4 linked regions of the Cricetulus griseus genome follow. The protein of the gene in region 4 purifies or fractionates together with the protein of the main gene of each other region. This does not show direct contact. Links are inferred from orthologs where the notes say so. Each region holds a gene or a part of one and is shown on either strand. Other genes may lie near its edges. The genes, in order: Rnmt, Kpnb1, Chd8 and Kpna6.

Region 1 (4,148 bases), about 150 Mb from region 4:
GGCTGGGGTCTGTCTGCAATGCCAGCATTAGGGAGGCCTGACATAGGATCATGAGTTTAAGTCCAGCCTGGGCTACATAATGGAAGTTTTTTTTTTTTTTATGTCAAAATTAGGTTCATTTTCTCTAAGATGACAATAGAAATATCTGGAGAAAAAACAACAAAACAAAACTCAATCATTGGATCCAACAAACTCCAATGCTTCATTCAATAAGCACACAGCGTTTTGGGGCTCAGGATCCACAAGACCTTTGCATTTGTTCATACTCATGAAAGAAAATTAACTCTTAACCTGGATAATGTCATAGAATAGAATACACAATCCCGGTTATCTGAAATTGATTTCTCATACTTGTTAAAAGTAAGCCGTTTAGTTCAAAGTTAATAAAGGAGTTGACAACCTCAGAAGGGCTAATGTCCACAAACTGCAAGTGGGAGGTGCATACTGCAAACTTGTCTACACCAAGGCCATGTTAATAAAAGTGCCTCCAAACAAATATTTAGAGGAGCAAAGCACACTTTCAAAGCTGCTTGGGACGGGTCGAATTTGCTTTAGAGTAATTCAGGAGACACTGCAAATCTGATTGTGGTTTTCCCACCACTTTGATGGAGGGATGGTGAGGCACTCCACAGGTAGAGTCTACTAAGTTCTGACCCTAATGTTGAGGTGAAAGCCTATAACGGTATGCCTCCCTCAAGAGTATGGCCTGACTACAAGCAAGGCGATAAGAAATGGCCCGTCACTCCCAAAGGTGAAGCTGATCGTTATTTTTGAAAGGACACAGCAACTAGCAAGGACGGAAGAGCAGGGCGTTAAGGACCATAACGCAAGAGGGTGTAAAACCGCACCAGGAGGAGCGAAGGCTGCCAGGACTCCAGAAGGACCTAGGACAGGGGTGACCTCTTTCGACCGGCCCCAGCGGTGGGCTCTGGAGTGCTGACGACTCCCGCCTGCAGGACGGAGGCCGCCACACACCGTGCGCGGCGCGCCTCGCTGCCGTCAGACACCCGCCCGCGGTGAAGGTGCCCTCTGGCCCCCTCCCGAAGCCCCACTGCGAACATGGACCCAGGCTACCTCTCAGGACGTGGGCGGGGGTCTCCACGGAATCCCGCCGCACGGGCCGGAAGAAGCTGCCTCGGCAAGGCGACCGGGCCAAGCCTGGTGCAGGGTGCGGTGTCACAAGACCCAGGCGAACGCTAGGCCTCCACCGCCCAGGCCAGCCGCGCCCACTAGCAACGTGCTCCGACCCACCGTGCCCGCTCGCAGGTCCACAGGCACGCCACCGCGCGAGGAACCATGGGACTCGTAGTTCCGGCGCGGAGGAGGCTACGCTCCAAGGCTGGTTGCTAATCCCGGGCGCACTCCCCGGAAGTGACGTAACAAGGCACGCGTGGCGCCGGCCGGCGTTTCCGCAAACAGAATCGTGGATGACTGTGTGGGTGAGTGTGGCGTTCGGCGTTCTGGCCTTTCCTGGCTTCTTTTGTCTTTAGTCCTGGGCGCTAAGAGCAAAGACGGGCCGAACGCCCAGACGCCTGGCTGGGCTCGCTTCTCTTCAGCCTCCTGCCTTCGGTCCTTGCCTCGTGGGGTTCATTGTGCCCGGAGCCGGAAGCAGTGTGGGCACTGCTTGTCTTGAGACGGTGGGCGCTGTTCCAGACCACACTGGCCCAGGGAGGAGAAGCCCCAGTGCTTCTTCTCGGGCCGCGGGGCTGTTATGAGGCTGCGATGGGCCGGGTGAGGTGTTGGGACCGAAAGACGGTTTGTTCTGTCTGGAGCTGAGCCGTAGGAACCTGCACCAGAGAGGTTGAGTAACAGCGGGGCCGGTAAGGGGGACAGATGAACTTGGAGAGCTGCTTGCCCCCCTCCTTCAGTTTCATCGGCTTGCACCCCGCTGTAGACGGTCAAGGTGGTCGTTCGAGGTCGTGCTTGACCGTTAGCTAGCAGGCAGAAACTGGGACGACCGAGAGAAATGATTTACTTTTGGGACGTTACCGAACTTATGGCGGGTCACATAGCCTGTGCACACCCCAACAAGCACGGTTCTGCCACCTCAGTAAAACAATTAACAGAGCCAAGTTAATAATGGAAAGCAGAAAAAGGAGATTTACTCTGTGTGACACGTCTTTGTGGGTCTTGAAATGAGGGTGAGGTTTAAGTAGGAGGCAAGAAAAATTATGTTTGGCCTAGGTGTGGGGCCGCCTAGCAAAGATGCGGGGAATGGTAGGCGGCCCCACATCTTTGCCTGGGCTTCAGTCTTTTCCTGTAAAGTGTTCTTACTCCCTTTGGCTTGTTTCTTTCCTTTCTCTCAGCATAAGATTCCTAGGGGAAATAATTCATTCATGTTCTCTCTCCCCTCTCTCACTCTTCCTCGTCTCTCCCTTCCCCCTCCCTCAACCTCCCCTTCGTTGTTTCAACAGTTTAATAGATCAAGAGACCCTGGTCTCTTTAGAATATCTTGATTTCTGTGAGGCAAGTTACAATGTGATCAGAGCCAGGTCAAAATACCCATCTCCAAGTCAGTCTATTTTTTTATCACAAAATCCTTTCTCCATTGTTCTATAGGGACATCTCTCTTTTAAGTATTTTCACTATCATTATTGATAGTTTTATTATTATTAATATTGGTGGAAAGCTGAGGATCAAACCCAGAGCCTTGAGAATGCTCTTGTGAACCAGAATTCCTAGAAAGCAGCTGTCACTACAAAGCTGTTGACTAGAATCTTGGTGATTTTTAGAACTTCGGTGATTCGGATAAGATGGAATGTTGCAAGTCCAGATCCTACTTATGTTGGCCCACCTTTAGCCTCCTTACTAGCCATTCTGCTCTATATGCAACCTAACATTTTTGTGAACATTAGGTAAATCCTTAGGAATGTATAAACAGACCTCTGGTTCTGACCAACTGAAAGGCCAACGATGCTGTCAGATAGCATTTGGGTCCTATAGTTGAGATTTCCTTGCTTTTCTGTGACCCACCTATCTGACATTTCCACCCATGTATTTGTTTGGATTTAGGATTTTCTTTCTTCTGTTATTATAAAACTTACTGGAACCGTTAGCATGTTAGAACATGGAATTTGAGTATTTAATCTGTATCCCTTAGCCATTGTCACACAAATTTGGCTCCAGAATAAACTGTTTCCCATCCTCTTTTAGGTAAGATCTATTGCTTTCTAGTGTACCAAATAAAGCACTCTATAATTGAATTGTTTGACACATAATTCTAGACATTTGCAACCATTTTGTAGTCATGGATGCTTTTATGACAGCTAATCTATGTATAAACTAAGTATAAACTGAATAAAAACCACCCTTAAATACTAATAATTTTAGGCAATAATTACAGCTAAAAATAACATTTTGCATGGTCTTATTGTAAAAGTTTCTTCTAGGCATTAAATGCTAGAGGAGAAATAAGAGTTTTGATAATTCGATGAGCAATTTTCCTTGATACTGATTTATAGTAGTTACTCTGTAAATTATTTTCCTACTTGATTTTGTTTTGTTCTCTGATTCAGTTGTTCCTATATAACGTATTTTGATATTCTGTTACTTTGAGTCAATATTCAAAGCTAGTGAAAACTAGTGTCTCCTGAAATCCTCAGTTTCCAGTGACTTGTTTTTACCTGTTAATATAAATAATGTTCTCTTTGTTATGCAGAAGGCCTTTAAAAGTAATTTACTTTAAAAGTAATTTACCTCTTGTTTTAGTGATTCTTCTATTGTGATAAGATACTGTGACCAAGGCAAACTTTTACAAGAGTTTATTTTGGGCTTACAGTTTCAGAGGTTTAGAGTCCATGACAATCACTTCACAGACATGGCAGCAGGCAGGTTCTGGAGCAATAGCTGAAGAGTTTACATCTTGATTCAGAAGCACAGGGCAGAGTGCTATCTGGGAATAACCTGACTTTTGAAACTACAAAGCCCACTCATGGTGACATGACCTCTTCCACCAAGGATATACCTTCTAGTTCCTGCCAAACTGTAGCACTAACTGAGATCAAATATTTGAACCTATGAGGGCCATTCTCATTCAAACCACTGCATGTCTTCATTACTTTTAGAACCTGAGATATCATGGTCTCCAATTTTGTTGATTTTTGATTTCCCTTTTTCATTTCTTTCAGTAATACAGCTTGATATTTTAG
Region 2 (3,566 bases), on a different chromosome or scaffold from region 4:
GCCCTTGGAGATGGGGAACAGAGGAACAGAAGTAGTTCAGGGTCATAGACAGATGTATACAAAGTAATGGTGTGTGTGTGTGTCTAGGGTCAACCTTGAATACATCTAAAAAAAAAAAAAAACTTAATTCATAAATTCATATTAATAACCTGCTATCCAGAGGTAACAACTCAGTGGGCAAAATGCTCACCTTGGTTTTGCAGAGTTCCATCTCAACACACACACACACACACACACACACACACACACACACACACACACACACACACACACACACACACGCTGGAGAAATGGCTCAGTGGTCAAAAGCACTGTCTGCTCTTCAATTCCTAGCACCCACATGGTAGCTCACAACTATAACTCCAGTTCCAGGGAATCGGACACCTTCATACCAATGCATATACAACAAAGTTAAGTAAGTTATAGCCAACAGTGGTGGTGAACGCCTTTAATCCCAATACTTGGGAGGAGAGGCAGGCCTGGTTCGAGGCTAGCCTGGTCTACAGAGTGAGTTCCAGGATAGTCAAAGCTGCATAGTGAGACACTGTCTTGAAAAACCAAGGAAAAAGCCGGGCTATGGTGCCGCACAGCTTTAATCCCAGCACTCGGGAGGTAGAGACAGGCGAATCTCTGTGAGTTCGAGGCTACCCTGGTCAACTGAGCAAGTTCCAGGACAGCCTCCAAAACAATACAGAGAAACCCTATCTTGAAAAGAACAAAAACAAAAACAAAAAGAAAATAAAAAAACCAAGGAAAGTAAAACAGAAAACTGGATGTGTAGCCAAGTGTAGTGACAATGCCTTTAATTACAGTGCTTGGAAGGAGGCAGAGATGGGGATCTCTGAGTTCTAGGACAGCTGGAGCTACATAGGAAGACCTTGCTTCAAAAACAAAATAAACAACAAACCCAGCTGAGTATGATTTACAAGTTTATAGTCCTAGTACTGAGGTACAGAGATATGTGGATTATGGGTGCACTGGCCACCAGCATTATCAGCAAGTCCCAAGTTCAGTGACATAACTTACCTTAAAAAACAAACAAAAACCACACCACACACACAGGGTGGGCAACACACAGAGCAGTGCACATTAAAATCAATAAATTCTGACACATAATGTTCTTTTGGCTCAATGCACATAAGAGCTGGGCAGTTAGCCGGATGGTGGTGGCGGAGGCAGGTGGATCTCTGTGAGTTTGAACCAGCCTGGTCTACAAGAGCTAGTTCCAGGACAGCCTTCAAAGCCACACAGGAAACTGTCTTGAAAAACAAAAAACAAAAACAAAACACAAAAACTGGGCAGTGGTGTCCATGCCTTTAATCCCAGCACTCAGATAGCAGAGGCAGGAGGATCTCTGAGTTCAAGGCCAGCCTGGTCTACAGAGTCAGTTTCCAGGACAGCCGGGACTGATACACGAAGAAACCCTGTCTCGAAAAACCAAAAAACAAAAACAAAAGAAAAACCAAAAGGATGCAACAAGTTGCATAAATAAGGCCAGGGTGTAGGGAAGGCTGTATTGGGATATACTGGCAGGGCCGGAAGCATAGCTCCAGAGTCAGAATTCCAAGTCAAAGATAGCCTTCCCCTTATTCAGAGCTCATAAGTTGTTCTCAATTATGCACTTGAGCTTGTATTCAGATTTCAAAAGGGAAAAATTTCCTATCAGCTACCGCCTCAATATCAATAAACTGACAACCTGCTGCCCCCTTGTGTTCAATGAAGAATTATCAGCACAAATACCTGAAACTGGAAAAAGCATGAGCTGTCTCAGTATTAAGGGGATCTGGCTAGCAGAAAAACCACAATCCTATAAGGACAGTAGCCCGGTCAGAATGGAACGCTTCTAGAAGAATGATACCCACAAACAAAATGTGTAAGATCTCAGCAGAACAGCAGCTCTTCTCAAAACGGCTCACCCCAAGCTTACCTCTGAAGCCTCAATGGCCAAATCCATTTCCTCATCGCAGACGTTGGACCAAAATTCTATTCCTTGTAGGGCCACTTCATCAATGTCACTTTTCATTGCTTCAATTGTGATCTTAAAGAGGGAAAAAAAAGATACCCCAGAGCCCAAGTAAGTACAGATTTACGTTAGACATCCAAGTTAAATTTTTTTTTAACAATCAAAGATAGTACACATTTTCTTGGCACACCACTGGTAAATTTACCATTCATGCAGGGCTCATAGCTGTAATCTCAGCCCTTTAAGGAGACTGTTGAATTTGTGGCCATCCTGAATTACATAGTGCAATCCAGACCAACTAGTGTGAAATAATGTCTCACACTAAATAACAAGCCCTAACACTCATACTCAAGTAGTCTTCTTGACTTCATGTTAAGTTAAAAAAAAAAAAGAAAAACTCCACAAAAATCACAAAATAGCAATTAAAAGCAATGAGCCCTGTAACTAGTTACAAGTTCAAATTACATAAAATACTTACCGCAAAAAGGGCAGGACCCATATATGTCTCCATGTACTGGTAATACAATGACATTATCTTCACTAGATTCTGTAAAGCAGCCACTCTTACCTTTAAGAACAGATGAAACAGTTACTATGTAACTAAACAGTCTGCACAGGTAGACCTAATAAACTAAGGATACCTTCTTAATGTTGTCATTTGACCCCAATCAATCCCTCCATTTTCACTGTTTCTTCCTTCTCATCCTGCCTCCCGCCATGTTTTACCAATGCCTGAACAAACTCACGCTGCTTAGACTGAAGATGTCCCTTTCACTAACTCCAAGGGTCCAGTTTAGGTTACAGCAATAGCAATGCCATTTCTATGATGAGGATAATCATGGCAACAACTTGAGGCACCAAATCAGCAAAGTTAATCAAAACCTCCTTCACACCTCTTAAAGGGTAACAGTCTCCAGTGTAGAAAACTTTCACTATTAAATTTAGTCAAAGCTGGGCGGTGGTGGCGCACACCTTTAGTCCTAGCATTCGGGAGGCAGAAGCAGGCCGATCTCTGTGAGTTCGAGACCAGCCTGGTCTACAAGAGCTAGCTAGTTTCCAGGACAGCTTCTAGGGCCACAGAGAAAACCTGCCTCAAAAACCAAAACCACCACGGGGGGTTTAGCCAAACCTTGTTTAATTAATTGATTCCCTAAATTTCAAACTGGATGACTGAACCTAGGAAGATAGGGACAGACAATTTTCATAAAGCAACAAACTTACCCTTGTATCTGGACACTGTGTGGCTTCACAGACCACTTGCATGATAAAGTGCCGTTCAGACTGCAAAAAAATAAAGAACATTAGCAATGCATTAACTGCATGTAGGAAGGTCTGAAGATCTACAAAGAAAATCTGTAGCTAAGTCAAGGCCCTGCAACATTCTGGTACAATCTAACACCCTTCCCTGAGGCAGTAAGGGCTATAAGCAGTTTGCCTCTGGTGTCTTCAGTATGACCCTTCCTTCCCTCTAAGGAAGTCTTTAATCTTTTAATTCCCAAGGTGACCTTCCCAAACAAGGTATCAGAGAGGAGGCAGACAGGAAGATGTAGGTCACAAGGTTTAAACAACAGCTAGTGGGGGAAAAAAAAAAAAAAAAAAAAAC
Region 3 (3,566 bases), on a different chromosome or scaffold from region 4:
ACACACAGACACACAGACACACACACCCAAGAGCTGAAATTGCTCTTAACTACTGAGCAACTGGTGTTGGCTAGTTACATTTAAGTCAGAGTCATCTAAAATTAAGCTAGAGTCATCTGAGGGGAGGGAACCTCAATTGAGAAAATGCCTGTATAGGCTGTAGACAGGCCAGTAGGACATTTTTTAGGCCCCAGTCCATTGGAGGTGGATTGTCTCCAGGTTCCTGCTCTGTTTGAGCTCTTGCCCTTACTACTTTTAATAATCAACTGTTACTTGGAACTGTGAGTGAAATAAACTCTTCCCTCCCTAAATGGCTTTTGTTCATGGTATTTCATCACAGCAGTAGTAACCTTAACTAAGACACCATCTCTCCACCCCCTGTTCATATTTTTTTTTAATGTATTAATTTTCACTACTTTGCTATTGAGCAAAGGGGTGACAGAATGATTTACAATCAATGCATTTCTTTTATTGGTCCTATACCAAGTGGTGATGTGGTCATCAACAGTCTTGGTCAGGCAGAAATTTATGGATAGTCCTTAGCAAAACCCATCATTGCAAAATGTCCCTCAGGTCTCCACATGAGAAGTTTTGTTAAACTCACTGGCACCCAAATCAGGGCAATATTGCCCTACCTGGTGACTCAGTATTAGCATGGCAACTCATCATCGGGACAATGTCCCCAGGTAAAATGAGTCCTTTTAATGTGTCAGATACCATGGGGAATTACAAGTCAGGGCTAAAACTGTCCAAAGCTCTGCCACATAAGTAACCTATGAGAACCGCCTATTATTTTTCAATAGAAGTAGTTTATCTTCTCAGTTATTACAGCTACACTGAGATCATTGTGTAAGCCTTCTGGGAAGAACACAGATCATCACTTGTAGTGATGGCAATGTGTGATTAAGGCCAGTGTCTGGAGTCCAATCTGCTGGTCCTATCCTACAGTAAGAACTTATGATACATGAGTATAACTACCATTAAGAATCCCAGTGATGGGCTGGGTATGGTGGCAGATGCCTTTAATCTCACTCAGGAGGGAGAGGCAGGTGAATCTCTGAGTTTGAGGTCAGCCTGGTTGACAAAACAAGTTCCAGGCAGCCAGGGAGACCTGGAACTCTGTGAGACCCTGTCTCAAAACAAAAACAAAGCAAAACAAAAAGGAATCCTACTTCATTCAGCCAAGGCTAGAGTTAGGTAATATCAGCACAAGCAATACGGAGTAGACACAGAAGTGAAGAAAGAACACCAATGCTTACCCTTCCACCAGGTCGGAGAAATTATCTAACACCCTATGTTCTGCTGCAATGGCTTTGTCATCTGGCCTCCCAGCCTTTTCCAGGAAGCACAAGGCAGGGTCTGCCCTCATGGTATTATATTTCTCATAGCCTAGAAGAACAATGGCCATAGATTGAAAACATTCAAAGATTCATTTTGTCATTACAAGCTAACTTGGATAGGTGTTAATACCACACTGTATTTATGACTTTTGTGGTTTTCATCTAGTGATTGACAAGAATTTAATAAGTAACTCATCTTAAGGTAAATTGTGTATACAGTCATTTAACTGATAATCTTTGGATTACAACTCTTACAGAAATGAAAGTAGTGTAATAACATGGATTTTGTCACACATTCTCAAATGAAGAACTAGTAACATACCTGAAAGTAAAGAGAGTCTCAGTGAGTACTTATATTAACTTTAAACTTCTGTGTCTTACTAGTAAATCAAATGCCCACCTTTTTTGTTGTTGTTGTTGTTTCTTTTTGTTTTTTTGAGATAGGATCTCTCTGTGTAGCCCTGGCTAGCCTGGGACACACGAGAGCTGCCTGTCTCTGCATTCTAAGTGCTGGATTAAAAGGATGCACTACCACACCTGGCTTGCTCACAACTTTTCTTAGCCCTTTACATTTGTCAAAAACATGTAAATTAAGCACCTTTATTTTTGGAAGTAAACAGAATATGTTTAAAAAAAATACATCCCAATACATCAAAGGATAAAGCTAATATTCACTGATTCTAATGCCTGGAATTTCTTTCTTTCTTTTTGGTTTTTCGAGACAGGGTTTCTCTGTGGTTTCGGAGGCTGTCCTGGAACTAGCTCTTGTAGACCAGGCTGGTCTCGAACTCAACAGAAATCCGCCTGCCTCTGCCTCCTGAGTGCTGGGATTAAAGGTGTGTGCCACCACAACCCGGCCTGGAATTTCTTATTAGGCAAAAACTGCTAAGAAATTAGTACTCACTGTTTAGACAAGTGAGACATTCAGATGAGCATAACATAAGAAAAATTACTGAAAATATGGTTAATGTAGATCCCACAATACATAGAGAGGTAACATTATAGTAATCATGGTTAAAAAACAGACAGAGGCTCCCTGCCTTTGATTTAAGTGTCCATCTGGAATTCCTTGAACATTTGCTTATAGAACTAACTAGTTTGCTACATACATTTAAGAACTATTTCTTACTAAAAATTTCTGGTGATGAATTACTTATAAGCACTTTGTTAAAGGTATTATCTTTTGACACACTTCTTTGATAGAAAAGCAGTACTGGAGATGGTACCTACCATGCTTAAAAACGCCAATGAGCAGGGATTTGTCAGCTTCACTATCCCACCATGTTGTTGGAACCTCCAGCTGATCCACTACTGGGAACCATATGTCAATCTCACTAAATGTGTAAGTCAGTAAAGCAATGTTAGAAATAAAAGTGATAACCCTTTGAAAGATTACTAAAGGTTGCTTGCTTTATCTGTTACTTTAAATGCTTCTGTTTCTGCTGTATTTCTATGAACTTGTGCTAAATACAAGATTAAAGGCCTGATGCAGAGATTTTTTTAATTATCAGATATCTCAAAGACAGTATAGAAAGAAGTAAGCAAACCAGTCAGTCCTGGAGTAAGAAAGAAATAAAATGAAGAATGAATGAGAGGTTGGTGAGGTGGTTCAGTAGGTGAAAGTGCTTGCTACCAAGCCCAACAACCTGAGTTCAATCCCTAGAACCCACATAAGAAAAAAACCTACACTGGCAACTTGTCCGACAAGCATGTCATGGCATGTCCCTGTTCTCTCCACAATACAAAATGACAAATAGATAATTAATAGATGACAGATGAATAAAATGTTAAATAAAGTAACCGTACCTCGCTATGGCACCCCCTAACACCTTCTCTGCTTGGTCTCCAATAACTTCCTGCCTCAGGTAATACAGCATCCTTACTCTTAGCAGTACCCTAGAAGGGAGAAAGAGATACCTTAGCAACAATGTAGCAAGCCTTCATTCAGACTTATCTGAATAGTGAGTGCTCTTACTTGTTACATTGATGTTTCAAGTGCTTCTTGTAACTCTCATCTTGGAACAGAGTATCAGGGTTATATTTCCGGATCCAGTCTGCCTTATGAATGTCAAAAGTACTTTGTGACTTTACTTTTTTCCCTTTCCGCCCACGGGGCACAGGGATAGACAGACCTGGGAAAGGGGCGACATCAAAGACTTGGATTGAGAAAAACCCTTACACCTGAAAAGGACTTAAATACCTTGTAGAAAAATGAAAGGGAAGGAG
Region 4 (3,566 bases):
GATAGGATCCCTCTATACATCCTTAGCTGTCCTCCAACTCCAGACATCTGACTGCTTGTATCTCCCAAGTGCTGGGATTAAAATTATGTGCCAATGAGCTTGTCCTAAATATAAATTATTACTATACTGTCAGTACCATCAAAACTTTAATCAACTCTTGAGCATTACCTGTTCTTGTACATCTTCAAAGTCTGAGTTAAGCAGCTCTATAAAAATGGGGACAGCTCCTGCTTCAATGACAATTTTGGTCTGCTGAGAAGTTCCGGAGGCAATGTTTGTCAGAGCCCAAGCAGCTTCAAACTGAAAGTGAGATTAGGCCACAAATGAGAAGTCCTTTTAGGCACAGCAACCGGCCTGCCGTCTGCCTTAAACAGCAAAGCTCTAGCACATAAAAAACCAAAACCAAATTCATGTCTTCGCTTCAGTTTTTTCATCTCTGAAACAAGGGTAAGAGTAATAGTGTGGGGCCAGGCGGATCTCTGAGAGTTTGAGGTCAGTCTTGTCTACAAGGCTACACAGAGAAACTATGTCAGTGTGCTCTCTCCCCCTTCCCTTCTTCAAGGTCTTACTCTGTAGCCAAGGCTGGCCTAAGCTTTTGCTTCTGGGCTCTATGTGCTAGAAGTATAGGCATGATCCACTGTCCCTGGTTGAGATGGCTGTCAACCCACTGTCTGCTGTGTCTAAATTTCTGATGGACTTGCTCATTATCTGTTTCTAGAAAATAGAGACCCAGAGAGGCAGGATGATTGATCTGCATCAGGTCACCAAGTTAGAGGTATAATAGGCCCTCTGATTTATAATGACAATCAGTGTATCGCATTCTGGGATCTCTGAAATCAAAACTTTTCTTCATGAGCTTTCTTTCTTTCTCTTTCTTGAGAAATGGTCTTGCTATGTAGCCCAGGCTGGTATCAAACTTGTGGCAGTTCTCATGCCCCAGCCTGCTGTATGCTGAAAATATTTGTGTATGCTGCCACATCTGGCTTCAAATATTTTTTTTTTCATCATGTACAACATGTTTTATGTATATATACATTGTGGAAACTGAGCCAGGTTCACAAATTACCTCACATAATTATTGAGATCTTTTTTTGTTTTGTTTTGGTTTTATTTTGTTTTGGTTTTCGAGACAGGGTTTCTCTGTGTAGCTTTGGAGCCTATCCTGACAGTCGCTCTGGAGACCAGCCTAGCCTCGAACTCACAGAGATCTGCCTGCCTCTGCCTCCCAAGTGCTGAGATTAAAGGTGTATGCTATCACTGTCCAGCAGGATATTTTTCTTAAAAAAAATAAAAAAGACACTCAAAGTGCAGACTTGGCTGGCTTCAAACAGAGATTTGTCTTTCTTTGCTCGGTTGCAAAGGTTGTGCTACCACACCCAGCCCTGAAACAGATTTTAAGGAAGATACTTCAATTGATAGTTTCTCTATATTACTTTTCCATTCCCTTAAGATAGGCCTACAGGGGGCTGGAGAGATGGCTCAGAGATTAAGAGCACTGGTTGTTCTTCCAGAGGTCCTGAGTTCAATTCCCAGCAACTACATGGTGGCTCACAACCATCCGTAATGAGATCTGGTGCCTTCTTCTGGCCTGCAGGCATACATGCAGGCAGAACACTGTATACGTAATAAATAAATCTTTAAAAAAAAAAAAAAGATATGCCTGCAGAAACCCACTGTGAGTTCTTGAGAACTTTGACCCACCGTCTCATGCCTGAGCGCTTTTACCTGTAATGTACAATTCTCACTCCTTTTCAGAAACTCCACAAACCGGTCAACTACTCCTGGAGTGTTAATAACTTCATCTATTGGAGGACTCGGCTCTAGAGGGAGATAGGAAAGACACCAAAAGTCAGGGAAGCTTTGCTGATCCATTCACAGTTTTGGATGCTTCTGACCACTCTTACAAACATTGCAAAACTGTCTTTGCTCATCTACAAACTGCATGTTACAAGTATAAAGGCAAACCTATTTTAGATATGCTCAGCTATGGCTTACTAAATGTGAACATAACAGAAAAGGAATGAAAAAAGTCCAAGGAACGCAACCCTATCCTACTTCACTGCTTTTTTCTTGGGAGGGATGTTTAATATGCTCAAGCAGCAAGAGATTCTTTTGCTATCATATACCTTGTTTTCAGGACGGAAAACCAATAGCAGAGCCTTGCACATCTGATACATCAAATTTTTATAGAGCAACTCGGTAAGACAGTTCTAGACACTAAGGATAGAGTATGAACCAAGCCAAAGTCCCTGCACTCACAGAACTTAGTGTGGCAGTGAAAGGTGGGCTGTTAGAAAGCAGTAGTAAGGATAGTCTTCTACTTTTATCAAGACATAGTTTCACTGTATAAACCCAAGCTAGCCTGGAACTCACAGAGATCCACCTGCCTCTGAATCCCCAGTGCTGACATTAAAGGTTATTTGCTATCAATACCTGGCTGTACCAGAACTGGGGAGGTTAAGGCAGGAGTATCTTGAATTCAAGAATAACAAGACTATCTTTTAAAAAAATGAAGGAAAAGAAAAGGAGGAAAGAAAAACGAAGAGTTTCATCTGTATACTCTTCTCTAACACATTTTAAGAGTCAGAAAACAGGACAACAGGCTTCATTAACAAGTTGTAACTGGCTGGACAGTGGTGACACTCGCCTTTAATTCCAGCACTAGGGAGACAGAGGCAGGTGGATCTTTGAGAGTTTAAGGCCAGCCTGGTCTACAGAGAGTTCCAAGACAGCCAGAGCTACACAGAGAAACGCACTCTGGAAAAACAAACACAATAGAAAAAGGTGTAACTGGGGGCTGGAGACACAGCTCAGCGTTAGAGTACTCACTGCTTTTGCAGAGTTCTGTCCTCAGCACCTATCCATGCATGCCAAGCGACTCAGAAGAGATTCTACCTCCAGCTCCAGAGGATCTGACATCCTCTTCTGGCCTCTGTGAGCACACATACTCATGTGGCATACACACATAATTAAAAACTCTTAGGGAAAAAAAGGATAGGTGAAAGAAATGCTGATAGAATTTTTGAGAAAAGAAGAATTAGCAGAGGGAATATCAAGTGTTAATGTGGGAATGTGCCTGACTTTTTCAAAGAAAACCTGGCCAGGAAGAAGGCTACAGTAGAATGAGCAATAGGTAGTAGTTAAGTAAAAAGAGTCAAGAGGCTAAGTCATACAGCACCTCTCTGAGAAGGACCCGGCTTTATACCTTTGGAGAGGAGTTTCCGGAATTTCTGTGTGGTTGCTAACTGTAAGTCAGAATCGTCAGAAAAGAGCATCTCCACCATCTCTCTTGTGATCACACTCTCCTAGAAAATAAAATAGGTTGATGACCTTGTGGATAATAATAAAGCCAAATGAAAGCATATCATTCTGCATGGCTTCCTGCTTTTTAAGAGCCTCAAGTAAGAGAATGGCATAGTAGATCCAAGTCTGCTTCAAGATACAATATTTGAAAGCGATTCCTAATCTGTGATGTAACCAATGATGTCCTTGAATGTTTTTTTCAAATTCTTTGCATCCTTGCTGAGTGGTTAAGCTGACTGACCACAAAAGGCAAGGAAGACCAT

What was found.
Region 1: the proteins of Kpna6 (region 4) and Rnmt purify together in Homo sapiens (co-immunoprecipitation; 3 studies listed by BioGRID and IntAct, counting the BioPlex papers as one, with this or other methods). This does not show direct contact. The link is inferred for Cricetulus griseus from reciprocal best matches to the Homo sapiens genes KPNA6 and RNMT.
Region 2: the proteins of Kpna6 (region 4) and Kpnb1 purify together in Homo sapiens (affinity purification with mass spectrometry; 4 studies listed by BioGRID and IntAct, with this or other methods). This does not show direct contact. The link is inferred for Cricetulus griseus from reciprocal best matches to the Homo sapiens genes KPNA6 and KPNB1.
Region 3: the proteins of Kpna6 (region 4) and Chd8 purify together in Homo sapiens (affinity purification with mass spectrometry; 4 studies listed by BioGRID and IntAct, with this or other methods). This does not show direct contact. The link is inferred for Cricetulus griseus from reciprocal best matches to the Homo sapiens genes KPNA6 and CHD8.

The regions. Positions count from the first base shown.
Region 1 is NC_048595.1:171,101,440-171,105,587, reverse strand, and holds the start of Rnmt (mRNA cap guanine-N7 methyltransferase), read left to right. Parts: upstream 1-1,293; 5' UTR 1,294-1,439; intron 1,440-1,662; exon of another isoform or gene 1,663-1,820; intron 1,821-4,148. UniProt on the Homo sapiens protein: Catalytic subunit of the mRNA-capping methyltransferase RNMT:RAMAC complex that methylates the N7 position of the added guanosine to the 5'-cap structure of mRNAs. Binds RNA containing 5'-terminal GpppC.
Region 2 is NC_048600.1:110,325,221-110,328,786, forward strand, and holds part of Kpnb1 (importin subunit beta-1), read right to left. Parts: intron 3,245-3,566; coding exon 3,185-3,244; intron 2,532-3,184; coding exon 2,442-2,531; intron 2,039-2,441; coding exon 1,928-2,038; intron 1-1,927.
Region 3 is NW_023276807.1:207,296,692-207,300,257, forward strand, and holds part of Chd8 (chromodomain-helicase-DNA-binding protein 8), read right to left. Parts: intron 3,497-3,566; coding exon 3,316-3,496; intron 3,237-3,315; coding exon 3,147-3,236; intron 2,675-3,146; coding exon 2,571-2,674; intron 1,390-2,570; coding exon 1,260-1,389; intron 675-1,259; exon of another isoform or gene 565-674; intron 1-564. UniProt on the Homo sapiens protein: ATP-dependent chromatin-remodeling factor, it slides nucleosomes along DNA; nucleosome sliding requires ATP. Acts as a transcription repressor by remodeling chromatin structure and recruiting histone H1 to target genes.
Region 4 is NC_048595.1:23,370,927-23,374,492, reverse strand, and holds part of Kpna6 (importin subunit alpha-7), read right to left. Parts: intron 3,306-3,566; coding exon 3,206-3,305; intron 1,821-3,205; coding exon 1,726-1,820; intron 301-1,725; coding exon 169-300; intron 1-168. UniProt on the Homo sapiens protein: Functions in nuclear protein import as an adapter protein for nuclear receptor KPNB1. Binds specifically and directly to substrates containing either a simple or bipartite NLS motif.